Linked DNA regions of Tamandua tetradactyla. The protein of the gene in region 1 purifies or fractionates together with the protein of each later gene. This does not show direct contact. Links are inferred from orthologs where the notes say so. Each region holds a gene or a part of one and is shown on either strand. Other genes may lie near its edges.

The links.
Region 2: the proteins of TMUB1 (region 1) and ERLIN1 purify together in Homo sapiens (affinity purification with mass spectrometry; 3 studies listed by BioGRID and IntAct, with this or other methods). This does not show direct contact. The link is inferred for Tamandua tetradactyla from reciprocal best matches to the Homo sapiens genes TMUB1 and ERLIN1.

What each region holds. Positions count from the first base shown.
Region 1 is NC_135327.1:195,010,414-195,019,915, reverse strand, and holds TMUB1 (transmembrane and ubiquitin-like domain-containing protein 1), read left to right. Parts: upstream 1-5,989; 5' UTR 5,990-6,010; coding exon 6,011-6,124; intron 6,125-6,992; coding exon 6,993-7,411; intron 7,412-7,719; coding exon 7,720-8,071; 3' UTR 8,072-8,539; downstream 8,540-9,502. Other genes in the region: AGAP3 (arf-GAP with GTPase, ANK repeat and PH domain-containing protein 3), read right to left, coding at 2,772-3,102; FASTK (fas-activated serine/threonine kinase), read left to right, coding at 9,133-9,232. UniProt on the Homo sapiens protein: Involved in sterol-regulated ubiquitination and degradation of HMG-CoA reductase HMGCR. Involved in positive regulation of AMPA-selective glutamate receptor GRIA2 recycling to the cell surface.
Region 2 is NC_135339.1:61,665,973-61,675,129, forward strand, and holds the start of ERLIN1 (erlin-1), read right to left. Parts: upstream 3,955-9,157; 5' UTR 3,852-3,954; intron 3,510-3,851; 5' UTR 3,499-3,509; coding exon 3,386-3,498; intron 1,649-3,385; coding exon 1,567-1,648; intron 1-1,566. Other genes in the region: CHUK (inhibitor of nuclear factor kappa-B kinase subunit alpha), read right to left, coding at 8,163-8,192, 8,978-9,077. UniProt on the Homo sapiens protein: Component of the ERLIN1/ERLIN2 complex which mediates the endoplasmic reticulum-associated degradation (ERAD) of inositol 1,4,5-trisphosphate receptors (IP3Rs).

The DNA.
Region 1 (9,502 bases):
TTCCTTGGCCTTTCATGGGAAAGGAACTTTTCAAAATGGCCTGCCTTCCCTCAAATCCTGCCCGGAAACACAGGAAAGCCTAATGTTTCTCTGCTTCCTGCTGCCCTGGACACAGGGTCAGAGATGACAAAGAAAAGCAGAGAAGGACAGTAGGGCAAGGTGCCCACCTTGCATCTTCAGTCCCAAGAAGATCTACCAACTACATCTCCCAGCTCTCCTTCAGGGCTGGGGCAGACAAACCATTCACCAGAACACTCATCAGAGTGAGGCAGAGGTTTTCTTATGCACTCTGAAAATGTCATCCCTTTCCACTAAGAAGCTCACATCCTAGTAAACAGATGATCCAGCATCCAAGGCGACGTAAGTGTTTATGTAACAACCCCAACTTAGGTCCACTCGGCCCAGGCAGGGTGGGCTCAGCCCAGGCTCAGAGTAAGCAAGGGAAACGCCCCGCAGAATCTGCTCCTCTCACCCCCTGGGGAAAGAAGGTGGGGATGCTGCTCTGCAGGACAGAAGCAATATGGTTTGGCAGATGGAGAGAGACTATTGCAGGAAGGATATAGGGCAGAAATTGGAGGAGTTTTTTTTTAAGGCCTGCCTACAGCAGAAGAGCTGGGGAGACAGAAGTGGGAAAGCAGGGGTGAGATGGGTAATAAAGATGGGTTCCAGGAGAGCGCCTAGGGAAAAAAAAAAAAAAATAGATGGGGAGAAGGAGGAGAGGTTGGGAGACCTTGCCAAGAAAGAGCAGGAAACCAGGGATCATGAAGGGGAAATGGCAAGAGAGCTGAGAAAGGATGTGTGAGCAGCAGCTGGGTCTGGTGACAATGAGACATTGGGTCCCAGGATTTTGTGATGGTGATACCAAGCTTCCAAGCTAAGCAGATGGAATCACGGGGTATTTCCAAACCGCAATGGGGAAATTGGCCAGGGGGAAGGCTCTGAGAGGGGAAATTCTGCCTGTTACATTGAATTTAAGATAGCAGTGAAAAACCCAAGTGCATCCTTGGAACCATGACTCTCACTTCACAGCAGAAGATGCCCTCTGAACCAGAGACCCCCTAAACTGGGGCTGGGCCACTGTTAAAGGGAGCTGGAGTTAGATCCAAAACTGGGCTGATTTCCTGCCTGCCTGTATTCCTCGGAAGGGCTCTTAACTTCTTCTGTGGCTGTCCCACTAACCATGTCTTCACAATGCAAAAGGTACTGGGAGGGGATATCTTGGATTTGATCTGGAACTTCTCTTACTTCCTCAGAGGGTATAAAGCTTCAAGGGAAAAGCATCTCTCCCCACCCCCACTCCCTTTCAATCTAGAAAGAAAAATTGGTCCTCTCCTCCTCTTTGTGGCCCCAGCTCACACAAATGCCATCTCCAGGTCCCCAGCCACAACCATGATTCAGGCCATTGACTCAGATCCATGCTAATGAGTTTTTTCTGTCACCTAATTAGTTCACGGTGAACTCAGCCTTAAGAGGAAAAAGACAAGAGGGTTGGGAAAAGGACAGAAGGAAGTCAGACTGGAACCTTTACAACAAAAGGACAGTATCCCAGCTTTAAATGCGGTTTTCTATTCCAAAAGACCAAATGCACCTTCCTCAGATACGGGGGCCCCTGAATGCAGAAAGGTGGCATTCAAGTGGACTGTCCAGAGCCTCACATAGCTAGGAGAGGACAGGAGTGCAGTACTGACTGAAAGGCCCAAGTACTGGACAGGGCCCTGCCCACAACTCCACGTTATGAGCAAAAGACCTTGCACTATCCCTGGCATTTCCACTCAGGCGAAACCCACCACCTGCTGGTGGGCGTCCCCATTCAAATAGGGGCGGGAAGAGTAAGCAGATGGCGCAGGGCGAGGCCCATCTGCCTGCCTCGGCTCGAAGGTCATCATGCCACAGGGGATGCCTGCGGGAGCGGCCAGCCCCCCACCACACCCGGGGTCCTGGGGCATCTGTCAGCAGCTCGCACCCGCTTCATCTGTCCACAGCTTGTGGGCAGCCACAAGCCCAGGGTACGAGAATCCAGAGAAGGCGGGCTGGGCAGTGTAGTGACCTGAGAGTTCGGGTCCCGGAAACCAGGTGCAGCGTCCCAAAAGATCAGTCAGCGCCCAGCAGCCTCCCACCCCGAGAGCAGCGGTGGGTGCCAGAGGCCGGTTGCAGAAGGGCTGAGGCGCCCACAGATCCGCCGACGCCGCCCACGCGGCCGCGGCGCCAAAGCCACTAGCCAGGCCAGGCCCGCAGTCTGCTCCACCGCGGCGGCGTGGGGGGGTGTGAGCCCAAGAGGGAGAGACTCAGCGAGCGCCACCCTCCGGGGCCCACAGGAACTGAGCCCGGGAAAGCTGCCATCCACTAACGGGAGACTCTAGTTCCCCGCCGGCCGCGGGGCAAGGACCGAGTAACTGCTAGGATGCCTCTACCGCGGCGGACCCACCTCCTGGCCTACCAAGGCCCCTTCGCCGCGCCGACCCTCCCCGACCATGCCTGACCACATCTGGCCCCAGCCCGGTCACCGAGGCGACGCCACGCTCGCGCCCGATAGCACCATGAACTGAAAACATGGGACGGGCCTTCAGCCCCAGAGTGTGCCTGGATGAGATATAGGGAAGCCCTGACGCCGGCTCTGCAGCGCCACAGATCAGCGAACCGCGTGGCCCGAAACTCAGGCGCGCAAGGACACTAGACCCGGGTCGGCATGGCCAGACCGGCCCCGCAGTGTCCCCGGCCAGCGCCGAAAGGGCCAACGTGCCCGGGCTCCCGCAGCCCCCGGCTCCGCTCACCCTCGATGGAGATGACGTGCTCCCGTATCTGGTTTTGCAGCGCCAAGTCCTCGATGCGCTCGATCAGGTCGTAGATGGCGTAGATATTGGGATGCACGGACTCGAAGCGCTGGATCTCCGCCCGGATGGCCGCCGAGTTGGAGAGCGCGAACTGCTGGGGGGGCCCGCCAGCCAGCTGCTGCGAGGGGCCGCCGCCGCCCCCGGCCCCGGGCCCGGCGCCGCCGAACTGCCCGCCGCCCCCCGCGCCGCTGCCGCCGCCGCCGCCGCCCCCCGGAGCCGCCAGGCTCTGCTGCTGCTGCGGGCTCTGCCCCCCGCCCGCCTGGAAGTTCATGGCTCCGGAGCCGCGGAGCCCGAGTCGGGCCCGGCTGGGGCCCGGGGCGGAGCTGCGGCGGCGGGCACGCGGGACTGGCGGGGCCGGGACTGTGGAGCCGGCGGCGCGGGGCTAGCGCATGGGGCTGGGGGCCGGGGGCCGGGGGCCGGGCCGAGGCCGAGGCCAGGAGCCGCCGCCGCTCACGCTGTGGCCGCTGCTGCCGGGCACTACCCGGCGCCGCGATCCCGCAGCCTCCAACCAGCCTCCAGCGGCAACAACAACGGGACCGGGAGCGCGCGGCCCGGGCCCTCCCCCCGCGTCATGCGCACGCACCGCCGCCCCCGCCGGCTCCTGCACACGCAGCCCAAGCCCCCTCCCCACCGCCCCCGCCCCTCCTGCACGCACGACCCCAGCACCCCCGCCCCTCGCTCAGCTCTCAGCCGCCTCCACTCCGGAGCTGAGCGTTCCAGCCTCAGCGTCCCCGGCCCCTCCCACCCCAGCCTCGGCCCTTCCGCCTCTACACCAGCCCCCACCCACACCCGCCTCAAGGGCCACCCGTTCTGAGGGGACAGCTGCTCTGGGCTCCACCCAGGCCTGGGCTGTCGCTTTCGCCTCCCTGGGCTGGTCCGGGCGGGGTGTCAGATCTCTGGGCAGTGCCTGAACAGTCCCTGCGCCGGAGGGTGCTGATTCACGCGACTGATTGGCCCCGCTGTTTCTCACATCTTCCTGGCTCCTGTAGGGCCGAGGATCCGCTGTCCCTGGGCCAAGAGGTTAGTCCTAAAGACCACCCTGCTCCCGGGCTTCTCCCCCTGGCTCTATGCCCCGTGTCTCCACTGTCCGCTGCAGTACAGAGGCTACGAATCTGGATTCCCAACTTCTATGTCGAGTTCTCCCTGAGAGCTTCATCCGCGGGGTCCTTGAAATGACACTTTGAGCAACAATGCCCCCACTCTTGTCTCCTTATGACCCTCCTCTCCTGAAAGAACCCCATCCTTCCCGGATTGGGGAGGGAGCACAAAATGCAGCAGGACTCCATTAGTAATTAGAGGAAGAAGAGGGAGGAATCAATATTGTGCCTTCTTCCCCCACCCACCCCATTCAGAGTCTCATCACAAGCCATACATGGCTTTCTTCACTCCGGTCCTCACTCAAGTCCTGGTGCACCATCCTTCCTGGGGGCCGCTCTTTCTGGGGCCCTTCACTTTTCCCAGTTTCTTTCCATCCCCACTGCCACAGCTATTGCAGTTCTGCCAGTCACCTCTCCGCATAACCTTTCCTAAATCCACAAGAGGTAGCAGGTGGAAGGTAGTTGCCCCAACCAATAGCCCCGCCAAGAATATATCCAGGTGTCCTCCAGCACAATTGATACATGCCATCCGTTTTCCACACACTTTTATATTTCAGGACCAACTTTCCTCAGCATTCAGTTGTCCACCATTCAGCTACTCACACAACTCTGCCCCAGGACAAACCCAGTCACCACTCTAAAGTTTCTGGTAACTTCCAAAGAATCAAGTGCAAGCTCATCAACACTTGAGGGCTCCCTGGCAACTGGGAGATGTGGGGTTTCTATTTACGTGTGTGACCTAAAGGATGTCCTGTACCTTCTGGCCCTCAATTGTGAAACATAGTGGAAGACGTAACACATAGCTCTGATATTCTATCATTCTAAAAACAACATCTAACATCTCTTTTAGATGTTTAAAAAGGATTAATAATAAGAATTTGCACTAGGGACCTCCTAAGAGAATTCTGAGGATAAGTAAAGAGCTCCTCAAATGTGCTGTCCCAGCAAGTGGCACACACCTGTGTTAGTACTGGTAGGCTGTTTACATGTCTGTCTCTATATTAGAGGGCAAGGAAAGGGTCTAGTTGAACATTGTATTCCCAGCATCCTGCACAGCTCCTGGCATATAGTATGTAGTTAATAAATGTTGGTAGAATAAATGAACAAATGGGAAGGAAGGAACTAGAGATAAGTTAGTTCTGTAAATTATAAATCTAACCTGACATTCCCAAAGCAATACCTGGAGTCCTGTTCTCTCAAGTTGCTCTGCTATTGGAACATTAGGGTGGATTACTTTTAATCAAGGCTGGAATGTCAGTCAGGTCCATAGTATGAGACCTCTGTGCGAGAAGAGGCCAGAGGAAGGAAGATAAATCCACAAGATGAGTTGGCCCAGGCCAGGCTAGGGCTCAATATTCTCTCCACAGTAAAACCCTGTGTACCCAATTTCCCAGCCCAAGCCTGGCTGAAGGAGTGTATTGATACCAAGTGATACTACTGTGTGTCAGACGCCTTACATAGTTCTCACACTATTTTATTTAAAAAAAACAAAAAAACTAATTTCTTCCTTAGAACAAACAGCCTTATGAGGTATGTTTCAGGAAGGAAAAAACTTAGGGACAAAAAGATTAAATAACCACCACAAGGTCCTTGATAAGCACAGGATAAGGGATTTGTTTTTCCTCTCTGGTTCCAAAATCCATTCTTCTTTCACGGTCCTAAGGTGGAGGAGGAAACCCAGGGAGAGGTAGGTCAGCCCATGGATACTGAACTCTGGGCTGGAGACATAGTTTGGGCCCCAAAGTGTCTTCTGGCGTCCACCCTGTCATAGGAGTAGGCCGGGGCTAGGGCCACCTGAACTCTAGACTCCAACTTCACCATAGCCTTCACTGCATATCAAACAAGGGCACTCCAACATGCTCCAGCTGACACTGGTGTCTTAAGTGTTCTAGAGTGACAGATGCCCTGGCAGCCATCAGGAAAGAGGGTCTGTCCGGCTCCCGCACAAACTCTGGTGTTAGGGCAACCCCAGAATCCACCCCCGCGGACGCCTGAGACCTGGAACAGCCAGCCGAACCCGCACGTGGATCCGCAGGGCGGAGGGCGGGGACTGCGCACGACCGCCAGACTACAATTCCCACAATGCTTTGGGCCACGGCGGCGAGGAAGGAGAGGGAGCCTTCAGGTAACTGCGACCTCGGCGCCTCCCGCCCGGAAGTGTCCGAGGGTCCGATATGGAGCTGGCGGAGCGGGGCGGTGAGTACCCGCGCCTTGACCGCGCCCACCCCAACGCCCTGGGTCTTAGCTTGTCCCGGCTCCGCCCCGGAATCGCCCGTGTCTTCCCGTGGCTCGGGGTGGGGGGCGGGGAGGCGGGAAAATGGAAGGGGTAATGGAGGAGTTGGGGGTAGGGAGGGTAGAGTATCCGATTCCTGGGGCAGGATCTGGGGTCTGGCAGCCGGGTGGGTTAGGAAAGGCGCTGCAGAGTCGGGCCGCGGTGGAGTGGGTTTTGAGTGGACTAGGAGGGGGCTAAATTGGATGGGGTGGGCAACTCACGGAGGCTCCAGATTGCCGAGGGACGGAGTTTGACATTTGGTGTGGGTGAAGCCTTAGGAAGCATCTTGTGCTGGGCGGGGGGGTTTGTGCAACGGGGAGGTGGAGAGGGGAAAACGTAGGCGCCTTTTTTTTTTTGTTTCCCTTCTTGAAGAAACTTTAGCGACCAAGTAGTAGATAGGCTTTGCGGGAGTGGTGGTGGGTGTGAGATAGATGAAGGAGTAAATACACTTTGAGATGAAAAGTAGAGGAGTAGATAAGTTTTGGGGTGAAGTTTGGTGGGTTTGAATTTAGGGAAGAGTTTGCTTAGAATGTCAAAGGATAAGGAGTGTATGAATTAGGGAACTGGTTAACGACCTAGAATTCAGGTTGCCCATCACCAAATCCCCTAGGATTGGGGATTTGGTGATGAGAATACATGGAGATAAATTTGGGAGGCCTGAGAGTCAGAGCAGTCTGTGCCCTGGAGGAATGAGGGCTGAAGGAGAGTTGCGGTGGGGTGGGGTGGAGGCTGTTGCTTTCAGAGCATTTGGTCAGAGAGATAGCCCCTCATGGATTGTTTGTGCCCCTTCAGCTCGGTAGCGCAGCGAGCAAGTCAGGTGCCATGGCCCTGATTGAAGGGGTGGGTGATGAGGTAACCATCCTTTTTGCGGTGCTTGCCTGCCTTCTGGTGCTGGCCCTCGCTTGGGTCTCAACACACACCACGGAGGGGCCTGACCCACTGCCCCAGTCACCAGGGACCCCGACTCCAGCACAGCACAGCGAAACCATGGCAGTCATCAACAACATCAGAGGCGAGGCCCCAGGAGCCGAGGTCCCCAGCCTGAGACACAGAGGTCAGGCTGCCCAGCCAGAGCCTGGCCCTGGGCTTCCAGCAACACCACTACCACCAGACTCATCACAGGAGCCCCTAGTGCTCCGGCTGAAATTCCTCAACGATTCAGAGCAGGTGGCCAGGGCCTGGCCCCACGACACCATTGGCTCCTTGAAAAGGTAAGCTGTGCTGAAGGGGGCTGTAGACTGGAATGAAATGCTAAAGAATGGGGTGGGAGCCATTACAGACCTGGAAGGGCCATCAGAGACTGAGATTCCCCCTTCATTTTATAGATGAGAACAGTGAAGTCTCCAAATCACACACGGATCTAGTACTTGTTCCACTATGGCAGACTGCATCCCCTGAGACCAAGCCCTGGGTGGTGGGATGGAGGGCAAAGGTGAGGGGTGAGTGGGAGTGCTGTTCTGGGGCAAGGGACTAGGATTGCCTGAGGCCTGCTCTCTTACCCAGGTCCCTCTCTCCTCAGGACCCAGTTTCCCGGCCGGGAGCAGCAGGTGCGACTCATCTACCAAGGGCAACTTCTAGGAGACGATACCCAGACCCTGGGCAGCCTTCATCTCCCTCCCAACTGCGTTCTCCACTGCCACGTGTCCACACGGGTCGGTCCCCCACACCCCCCCTGCCCTCCGGGGTCAGAGCCAGGCCCCTCCGGGCTGGAAATCGGCAGCCTGCTGCTGCCCCTGCTGCTTCTGATGCTGCTGCTGCTCTGGTACTGCCAGATCCAGTACCGGCCCTTCTTTCCCCTGACGGCCACTCTGGGCCTGGCCGGCTTCACCCTGCTCCTCAGTCTCCTCGCCTTTGCCATGTACCACCCGTAGTGCCTCCACGAGCTCTTGGCAGTGTTGCTGGCCCATTCGGACCGTGTTCCCCACGACACAGTGGGAGCTGCTGTCTGCCCAGGCCTGCTTCTCCGGCTTGTGTGTTCCCTCTGCCTTGGAGCCCAGCCCTGCGCCGCCGAGGACTCCAGGGGTCCGCGGATGCCTCTCCCTGTGACCTCCATGGCTCTGGGCCACCTCCGGAGGCTGCTGGCCCTCAACTCCCACTGACAGTTGGTTCCTCAGGGTCAGGCAGCTGCTGTCACTGCCTTGGCCCTGGGCAGAGCCAGGCAACCCCCCTGGGCCGGTCTTAGTGTTCAGGCTGAGAGCCCAGCCACCTTTAGTCCCCAGTAACTCTTTGGACTAATTTGGGGACCCAAGGACTAAGTGGGAGGCTATGGAAGGGTAGCTGGGAGGGACAGGGGGGGTTGACTGGAACATGTGCAGATTAAAATAACTGTGAAGTTTTCACCCTTGGCTTGTGTCTGAATGTGTAGGGTCTATGGGGTTGGGGACTAGGGACAGGGAGCCCTTGCACATTGAGAGAAAAAGGAGTCAAGAGCACTGATTGGGCCTTTGGCTCCTGTTCAACTCTCCCAGGCTGACAGCTGACGCCTTATCCTCCCCTTCGCCCCTCAGCTTCAGCGCTTTGCTTTTAGGGCCCTGCCCCTTCTGCTCTGGCTCTGCCCACGTCTTCCTTTTCCTCCGCCCCCGGCGGCGCGCGCGCAGCTTCCGGGAAGCGGGAGGCGGGGCTCGTGGCGCCCCGAGCTCGCAGGGCCTGACGGGAGCCACGTCTTTGCTGGCTGAAGACTTAGCTGGGATTGGCGTTCGGGCGGCAATCCGGGGGTTGCTGGGAAGATGGCGGACTCGGTGGCCCGCCGATGAGGAGGCCGCGGGGGGATCCCGACTCCCGGCCCCCGAGGCCGACTGAGGCAGCGACCTGCGCGGGGCCTGGGGAGCCATGTAGGGGTGGCGCCTGCCGGGGTGGGCCTCGGGAGGTCGGGGCGGGAATTTGTGTTTGGGACTGTGACTACGGTCTCTTGGTGTCCTAGGCCTGGGTGGGTATGGGAGCCCCTTACATCACTGGCCCCGCGCCATTGCAAAGCTGCGCACTCGGGCTCCACAGGCGCCCGGCGAGATGGGCGCTGCTTTCTCATTTCATAGGTGAGGAGACTTAGGCAGAGAGTCGAAACTACTTGTCCAAGGTCACACCGCTGGTAAGTGGGAGCGTCTAGCATGGAACCCAGGACCATTCAGCTTCAAAGCCCGCGTTCCACCCTCTACCGCCGCCGCCTCCTGCGGGAGGGAGACCCCGGTGGTCGGGAGGGCGTAATCGACAGGGTGACCTGGGCTCCACGCTAGCGCTACCACCAACCCCAATAATGACCTCGGGCTTAACTTTGCCTCTCTGCGCCTTGGTTTCTTCATCTGTGA
Region 2 (9,157 bases), on another chromosome or scaffold:
ATTTACCTGGCTTTGAACAATATAAAAAAATTCCCCTGATTTCCAGTGAGGGTCTGACAACACTGTTAATAACATTATTATAGATGGTTTGTTTGGGCTGTTGGAAAGGTGAGGTTATATAATTGAAACCTCTTCTTTCAGAGAGGAATAACTGAAATCTACAACAGTTAGGTGATTTGCCTAAAGTCACACAATCAACTGGGGCAGAACCAGGACTAGAACTTAAGTCTCCAGATTTCTAGCCCCTGTTCACTGAAACACAATACTTTTTGAGAAATTAGCTCAATTTAACACCTTCCACCATAAATGGAAAGGGCAGTAACATAAACGTGACACAATCCCTGCTCTCAAGAACGTTGAGACTTTCTGAAAAGAAAATTCAAAAACTTAGAAAAAATACAAGAAACACTATTAACGGAAATAAGAATGAGGGTGAAAGTTTACAATAGAGGCTTTAAGAACTACAGATAAGAAGGATTTGAGGGCAGGCCACAGTGGCTCAGCAGGTAAGAGTGCTTGCCTGCCATGCCCGAGGACTCGGGTTCGATTCCCGATGCCTGCCCATGTAAAAAAAAAAAAAAAAAAAAGCAACCAAGAAGGATTTGAGGTAACCCTTAAAAAGGCTGGAAAGATTTAGTTGGGAAAGGGGAGAATAAATGGAGGGAGGGATGGTGAGAGAAGAGGTGACAGCAGAAGGGTAAAAAAAATATATATGGGCAAACAATATGAAAATCAATCTAAGGGAAGAACACATTACACTTCAATAAACACAATTCTTGACCTAAGCCACCTAAAAGAGGAAGGAAATATAGGAGATTAAGTATTCATATAGACACTCTTAGGAGGAAACCTAGACTTAAATTATAAGGCTAAGACTCAACAACATAGACAGTAAACAGCAGACAAATTTCTTCAGAAGCCAAAGATTTATGATGATACTGAGCTTGCTAAAGTAGTAAACCTAATCCTGTTTTGCATTTTGTTATATTAAAACATTAAATGTCTCCCATGGCCAAGATACTCTTCTTGATAACTAGATGCTCATTTAGAATATTCTGGGATACTGTCAAGATAAAGCATTCACTAAGGTTCCACATAATATTGTGTTTAATGGATCAGGTAAAAATTTGAGGCAGAAAAGCTGTGTACAAAAGTTTAAATCTTTGATCATAACAGGAGCCCAGGAGACTGCCTAAATGGAAACCAAACACTGTTCTAAATCAAATAACCACTGGTTTGTATTTCTAGGTGTGTTGCAATTTTTGCTTTTACTTTGAGAGTAACAACAAATACTTACAGAAAACCTGCTGCCTGTCATTATATAGATGGGAAAAGTAATCATTCCGAACTGCTTAGCTCATACTTATAACACACTACCAGAGAATGAGGTAGCTGAGGATCATTAATTTGTGCTATAACAATTATACTCTGAACTTTAACTCCTGAGTGTAAGTAAATACTACTATGTCTTTAAGCAATAGGAAATCCATCTCCACCCAAGAGTATGATAACTGGCCCTGCCACACCTGTCTATCCAGTGTGGCAGCTTCCCTAGAAATCACTCACCTGCACAGATCTGAATGTAGTAATGAAAGGCAACATGATATGATAGCCTGGTCCACTGGGGCTCGTTAGTAAAGCTCCTCCCCTGCAAAAAGATGTTTCAATTTCACAAGATTATAAAGAGAGACCTTTCTCTTTCCAAATCTAAAATGCTACAATAAAGATTCACTCTCTGATCTACTAAAGACTCACTAACACGAATTATTCCTAGCTAAGAACTGCTACTCCCTAAAATACCTGCCACACTTAAAACAGATAAAAAGATCAAATTAAACTGCTGGATGTTACACCTTGTTTCATAAGCCTAGCCAACCACACCTCTGGGTCTCCACCACCACTCTTAGGTTCAAAGGATTGCCTAAGAGTGTCTTCAACTTTCTGAGAAATGCTTTTACAAAAATTCTAATCGCCTGCAGTTTCTGTATTTTAATTGTACACAACAAGAACCAGATCAAGCATAATACAAGCATAATACATTTACTTGCCAAGTTGAAAAAAAGAAGGCAACACAAACTCTTAAGGAAGAGAAAATTTCTGAGGCTCAAGAGTCTTTTAATCTATCTGCATGGCAACTAAAATACTGAAGGCATAAAGTCTCCATATGAAAACAGAAAAGAAAATAACTGGAACGGAAAGATGAAGGGTGAGGGGCAAGATTAGACATAAAATATGAGCCTGGATTTGTTCATCAAATTCTGGAATGTGAAAACTATGAAAGCCCACCTTGAAAACTGTAAAAAACGGAGGAACTTTGGGAACAAATATAAAAAAGAAGTCCTACTTCGCATAATTCATAGAACTATCCTATCCTGAGACTATAAATAGGTTTGCAAAGATTCTATAACAAATAACTAAGGAAAGATGAAGTATCTGAAATTCACCTCTAATTCTTTGAGAGCCATACCTTCAAATGTTCTTTCCTTTGTTTTACTGTTATAAAGAAAACACTGAACTAGATGGAAATCTGGATTAATCTACCAACTGTTATACTAGATTTCCATCTGCTAAAACATATCACTTAAAAATGCACTTATAAGAAGTTCCTCACACTGAAGACTGTCTCTAAAACCCAGGATGGATCTAAGAGCAGATATATCAGGTTTGGACGGATGACAGAAAAGTTGAAGCTCTTTTCATATATTCTATTATTCTAATTTCTCCACAAATTGTCCTCTCATCACTTACTAGTCTATATCAACACAGAACTATTGATAACTATGCAAGCTTAACTAGACAGTAACATATCCCATAAATTCCTCTCCTCAACTTGAAAAGAAAACGTAAGGTGCCTCATCAATGCTATGTTTATATCCCTTCTGGAATTTAACAATTATTATGGTCATCATGGCCTTATAAGTCATAACCAGACACACTGAGACTTTAAAAGGAAAAAGCTAAGGAACAACCATAAACAGAACCAGATTTTCTAAATAGCACTATAGCTGCAAATTAAAAACCTGTATAGTTGTAGAGAATATAATAATTTATCCGTCTCTCCAATTACAGGCGGAGTGACTACTGCCTTCCTTTCTTCATTCTACAAATAATTAAGCGCATGCTGTGTACTAAGAATAACTGTCAGAGGTCTTAACCTCTGCAGCAAAACTTACAGAGCACAAAACGTGCTAAACACCGGGAGGGTGCGCCGCAAAAGCCAGCTTCGGCTCCCGTACTCTTCCTAGTGCTGGAACGTAAATCACTTCCTAGGACTGGAGAGGATTTCTCCAGGACGCTGCTGAGGGCACAACTTCCTAGACTCCACTCTAGCGGAGTCCACTTTCAATCAGCTCTAGAACCTGAACTGACTGCACGTGCAGCTCACCTGTAATACACAGCCAGGTGTCCTTCCTCAATCTTGTGGATGGAGGCGTAGAGGAGGACAACCACCAGCCCCACAACTGCAGCCACCAGCACTCGGGCTTGAGTCATATTCATTCTTGCTCCTCCTGGATGAGGCAGGAAAGGACCCCCAGTGCCGTGAGTGACAGACACACGTTTCAATTTCCTCCCTCTCCCTCCGGAGTCCCAGCGCCCTCCCGCAGACCGAGCCAGGAAGTCCTGAGCCCCTTTCCTTTCATTCTTCCCTCCTCGCTTCCCCTTTGCCAACCCCACTGTCGGAGGCGGCCCATGGGCCGCCTCCTGCTTGGTGAACGTCGTGACACACGCTCTCCCAACGGTGGTTCCCCTGCCCGGCACACTAACTGAGAAGGGGCCCAGCTGCAAGCTCCGGAAGGAGGCCGATCTACCCCTACTCCCACCCCCATCCCCTACACCCGGCAGCGCCTCACCGATCAGTGACGCATCGCCCCCGCCCGCACGTGCAGCCGCCTCCCAGGCTGCGCCTAACGCCGCCAAAAGCCGGCCCCGCCCACTTCCCAGAACTGCGGCTGCGCGGGGACGCACACAGACGCTACCGCTAGCCCGGGACTAGAGAGACGGGGAGCAGACGGGACAAAATTCTCTTAGCCGCCCGGTTCGCAATCTTCCGCAACAATGTCGGTTCTCTGTACACCCCTGGCTAACTTCTACTAAAGAGAAGGGAAATTGGTAGTCTGGTGTAAGTAGGGATGTAGAGGAAAGGAAAGGGTCTCTCGGAGAGGGAACTGGTCAGCTTGTTCTTGTATAGAGAACCCATTCCCCTGCTTAGTACATTAGTAGCTGTAATCCTTTTCTGGTTTATACCGAGTCCTGCTGTTTGTGACAAGTAGGAGCTTCAGGCACGGGTCATGAACTTCAGGAGCTCCCGAGATTTGTTGCAAATAAAGTGCTAAGGATTCAGAAGAGCAAGAGACTCGATCCACCTGCCTCGTTCACTTGTCGGTTTTTCTCCCCCATCGAGCTTCAAAATTTTTTAATTGTGGCTAATACATATATACACTATCAGGTATTTTCTGAGCACCTTCTATATTCCAGACCCTATGCTGATTCAGGGAGGACTTTATGAGTGGCATGCACACAATGGGAATAGAATGAACTAAGGCATATAAGGATGTGGGGGTGGGGGGATGGAGATGGGGGTGGAGGTCTGTGGGGACTAAAATGAACAGTGAACCCTTGAATTTCTTTAAAATCTTATGTGATGGAAAGGAGTGGTATGGTAGGCTAGGATCAGATTTTTAAAGGCTCATGTGCCCTTTTTCTGCTGGGAGGATCACTGCATAGTTTTTCGAAAAAACTCTGTCATGTACATATATTACCTGCTCAATAAAATAAAAAGGACAAAGGAAATGGGGAAATAAGCACAGATTAGTACAGAAAATTGGGCAGTAATGGCGCAAGCACTGAAAAGCTAACAGTGGAGCCTGAGCTGGATGAGGTAGACTAGGGTTGGAAAACCTGTAACCTCTTGAGCAGGGAACTATGGGAAAGTAGTGCTTTAGGCCAGTGGAACTGCCAGTGCTAAGCAAGATGGCCCAGAGGGACGCCTGGAGGTAGAGAAGCCAAGTGATTAGGAAACTGCAGTAAACATCTAAGGATACAGAAGAAGAGAAGATAGGAGGGGGTAAACAGAATCAATTCAAGTCTTCATTAAAGCAAAGCAAGCTTGGATTAGAAAATGGAATATATAAAATTCACAGTTGCCATTCAACTCTGAAAAGCTGTTAACCAACAAAAAACAAACAATGGTGTCAATCCATGCATCAGAAGCAAATCTGGGGAGAAAGCCATGGAAGCAAGAAGCTGGAAGCAATGGAACCTGGAAGACAAAGGGGAGACCAGCAGATACCACCATGTACCTTGACATGGGACAGGAGTCCAGGATCACCAGCAGCCTGTCTCCAAGTAGACCCACGCCTTCCCATTCTCCGTCCTGGGAGGACTTGTAATACAGAATCTTTTGCCCTCTAGTATCAAATTGGCTTCATCCAATGGAGGACATCATCAGGAGATGGAGGCAAGGAGGAGCCTGACAGCAGGCAATGTATATCCCTGGTTCTCTCCCTGTGGAGTCCACTGGCATGCACATAAATTCTCAGAGTCTTTGTAGAAATAATAGTATCCACTATCCAAAACTGTAACCATCATTAAACTAAGTAACAGTTGTAAAATACCTAGCAAAGTCATTGCCCGGGAAGAAAGTGCTCAAGCAATATGAATTACATACCCCTCCTTGCCTGTCCCTTTTCACACTGCCTTGTAATTATCTGCCCACTTTGTCTGCTTCTCCCTTGAGATTGAGTGCTCCTTGAGGGTAGGGATATAGGCACGAAGACCAAGATGTGCATTAAGTATGTGCCCCGGAATGCCAGTGAAATGATCACTCTGTGATCATATTCACTGAGTGAATATGGTACAACAGCAAAGAGAAGACAGGGCTTTACAAAGACTCTGTCCTCTTTGAAGATGAGGATGATGTTATAACTGGATATAGAAACTGCATGAGAAAGACTACTTTGATCTTTGTCACATCTGGCTAGTAACACTCACTTTTTCTCAATATATTTATATATATTTATTTACACAAACACACACCAATGTAGATCATATATATACATATATATATATACACACACACACATATTATGATCTCCCAGTCAGCTGTTACTTGATACATTTTCCTCAAGACCTTGGAAATGAACTGTAACTAATTAAACAGAAGCTTACACCAAGTCCTTGTCAATTATCTAAAATCTATTAAAGGGGTGATTACAGTAAAGGAGCACTTACTTTCTAAAAAAAAGCAAATCTGGGTTGATGTCACTGCCATAGTCTGTTGTGACTCATACCATCTGCCTGTGTCATGTGGTTCAAGCAGTTCTGACATCACCCAGCTGCACACCATCAAAATGGCCCCATCTAAACAAATCTTTTATCAGTTATTATTTAGAAAATGCATGGTCATGAAAAAAATCCCTTAATCATAATTCCAATACTGAGATGGCTTGCAGTGTTGATTCCCAGATAAGCATTCTTCTACTGTGTTGTGTCTCACTTTGCCATCTAGCTCAGTAACATCCAAGCAACAGGTGTCCAATAAAAGATTTTATTGATTAAAATCTGCTAAAACTAGAGAAGAAAAAGACTGCCTATTATAGCAGTTGACAGGCACAAAATTTAAATCTTTAGAAACAGTGATACCAGATGACTAAAAAGATATGAGAAGACAATTTCAAGGTTTCTAACTTGGATGACTGGGAAAATGACATGGCAGAAATGAGGATGGTGAGAAGATGACATCAGTTTATAGGGCAAGTTATGAGCATGGTTTTTAAATGTGGACAGTAGTGAGAGGACAAGACTACATTAGAAGGTTCCCAACACTGCCTTTACCATAAAACCTGTTTAATTCCTAAAGCAAGAACCATGAGAACCTATATGTTATTGTGTTCCAATTCTATGAAACTTCACATTTCTAAACCATATTAAACTCTTCTATTACAGCTTGATTTAATGAATAGATTCAATAAGTAATTTAAAAATCATTTAATACAATAAGTGAAAAACTGTTTTGAATACAAAAGCATTTCACATTTTTAAAAAAACAAGTAATACCTTCTAAATTACTTAACAGATGACAGAGATCCACAATCCTTTATCTGAAACTCTTGGGGCCAGATGTTTCAGAATTCTGAAATTTTCAGATTTTAGAAAGATACTTCAGTGCATACACTATATACTACATAACCCCCCAGCAGGGTCTGTGGCAGCACCCCATAATCAAACACATCACTATTTCTCCAACAACAAATAAAATGAATATTCACACTAAATGGGATAAGTAGATTCAGTATCAGTTCAGATTAGATTTGTAAGCAAATGAATTTTGTCACCAAGCTTATGAAAAACATTTCATTTTCAGAGCTTTTGGGGTTTTGGAATTACAGAAAGGGAGTGCAGACCTTTATAAATTTATATGACAAGACATGAAAAATCCTTTCAACAAATGACCCATTTTTACAAGAGGAAAAACAGATAAGCTTACAAATACATTATAAATTAACGTGGGTGAATTCCTTTTGATATTATTAAATGTACATCTTAAATAATATACATCTTATCAGTACACATAGCACATTTAACAAGATTTATGAGAGTCGACTGTTATTAAATACAGAGGCACAATCCTGTCAGATGTGCCCTAAAACTGAAAATGGGATTAAACCAACTCCTTATGATGCCAGGAAGAGCACTTGTTAAGTGCAACACAAGGAGATCAGGTTATTCTTCAAGTTCAATTTTATTTGCAGCAGTCCCAACAGAAACACAGGCAGACAACATTTAACATGTATGTTAGTTGAGGTGTTCTTCCTATATACATTTTCAGCCTTATGCCCAAAAGACAAAACTTTAAGAGGCATTTTTAATCAGTTAAATAAGTAATGTTTATACCAAATTTGGAGACAAGTGGGTCACAAAGATGCTCTTAAGTAGCTGTAGTATTTGAACAAGTCCATTGACTTTTTATAAAATCCTATCTTTAAGGAGGTTAAAAGTAATCAAACTCAAAACATTGTGCAGGTAAAATCATGAGTGACTTCTGATAATAACCATTTCTTCCACTGGCTGGTTCTGCAGAATAGTTTCATGGGAGAAAAACAAATTTCCAACACGTGCTCAAACAACTTCCATAAATTTGGTGACAGTGAACAAGTAGCAGATCACTCTGTTAACCAACTCCAATCAAGATTCTAAAATCAGGCATGAAAAAGCTACAATTAGATGTTGTACAAGTAATAGCTATATTGGTGTTTATTTTTGCAAGTATTCTGTATGTTTGATCATTTTATAATAAAAGTTGAAAAATAAAAATACAAAAGTTACAACTAGAGAATTTAGTTCACCTTATTTTCTGTTAAACTAAAAAAACTTCGTTTCAAAAATATTTAAAGCAAATAATTATTCTAAATGAAAGAGGAGATATAAAGAGTTGACATTATGACTAAATGAAGTAAAAATTAATTCAATAAGCATTTTATTGTAGCTTCTCCAAGTTCTTATAAATCAATATTCCCAATGTAAGCAAATCTTCTCAGTTACAGATTATTCCTTACAAAATTAACTATACTATACAACTATATACCTACATAAAATTAGCTATAATGTAACATATATTCATTTATACAGCAGCCACCATATTTGAATTACAGTACAAGCCTCACCCATCTTGTTGGAGAAAACTGATTGCTAAAGCAAAATGGTATAAACCACTCAATTTCAGTATTCACATATTAAAGAAAGCTCACCCTTCTTTTAATGTGACAAAAAATGCTACTGTTGAAGATTATTGATGACATAATCCTAATACAATGCCTGAGTAGCAGAAGATGTAAATTTGAGATCTAGGATATTCTTCCGATTTCCTCTATTTGCCCTATGCATCCCAAATGTCAAGATAAGGCTAGTATGGACAGCTACACCCTTTGTACCTAGCATGCAAACAAAAAACAAACACCCATATGTACACAAAACTTACCATCATACTACTGCCATGTTCCTCATTTGCTTCACGAATAATAGTGCTTAAATGGCCAAGACAGTTCAAATTTTCTTCTATCACTTGTGCTAAAGTCTCTCTGTAGGATGAAAGGGCAAGGAGTTCAGCAAAGGGGCATATGAATTTCCTCTATTTCGGGTCTCCTAGGTCAGGATGATC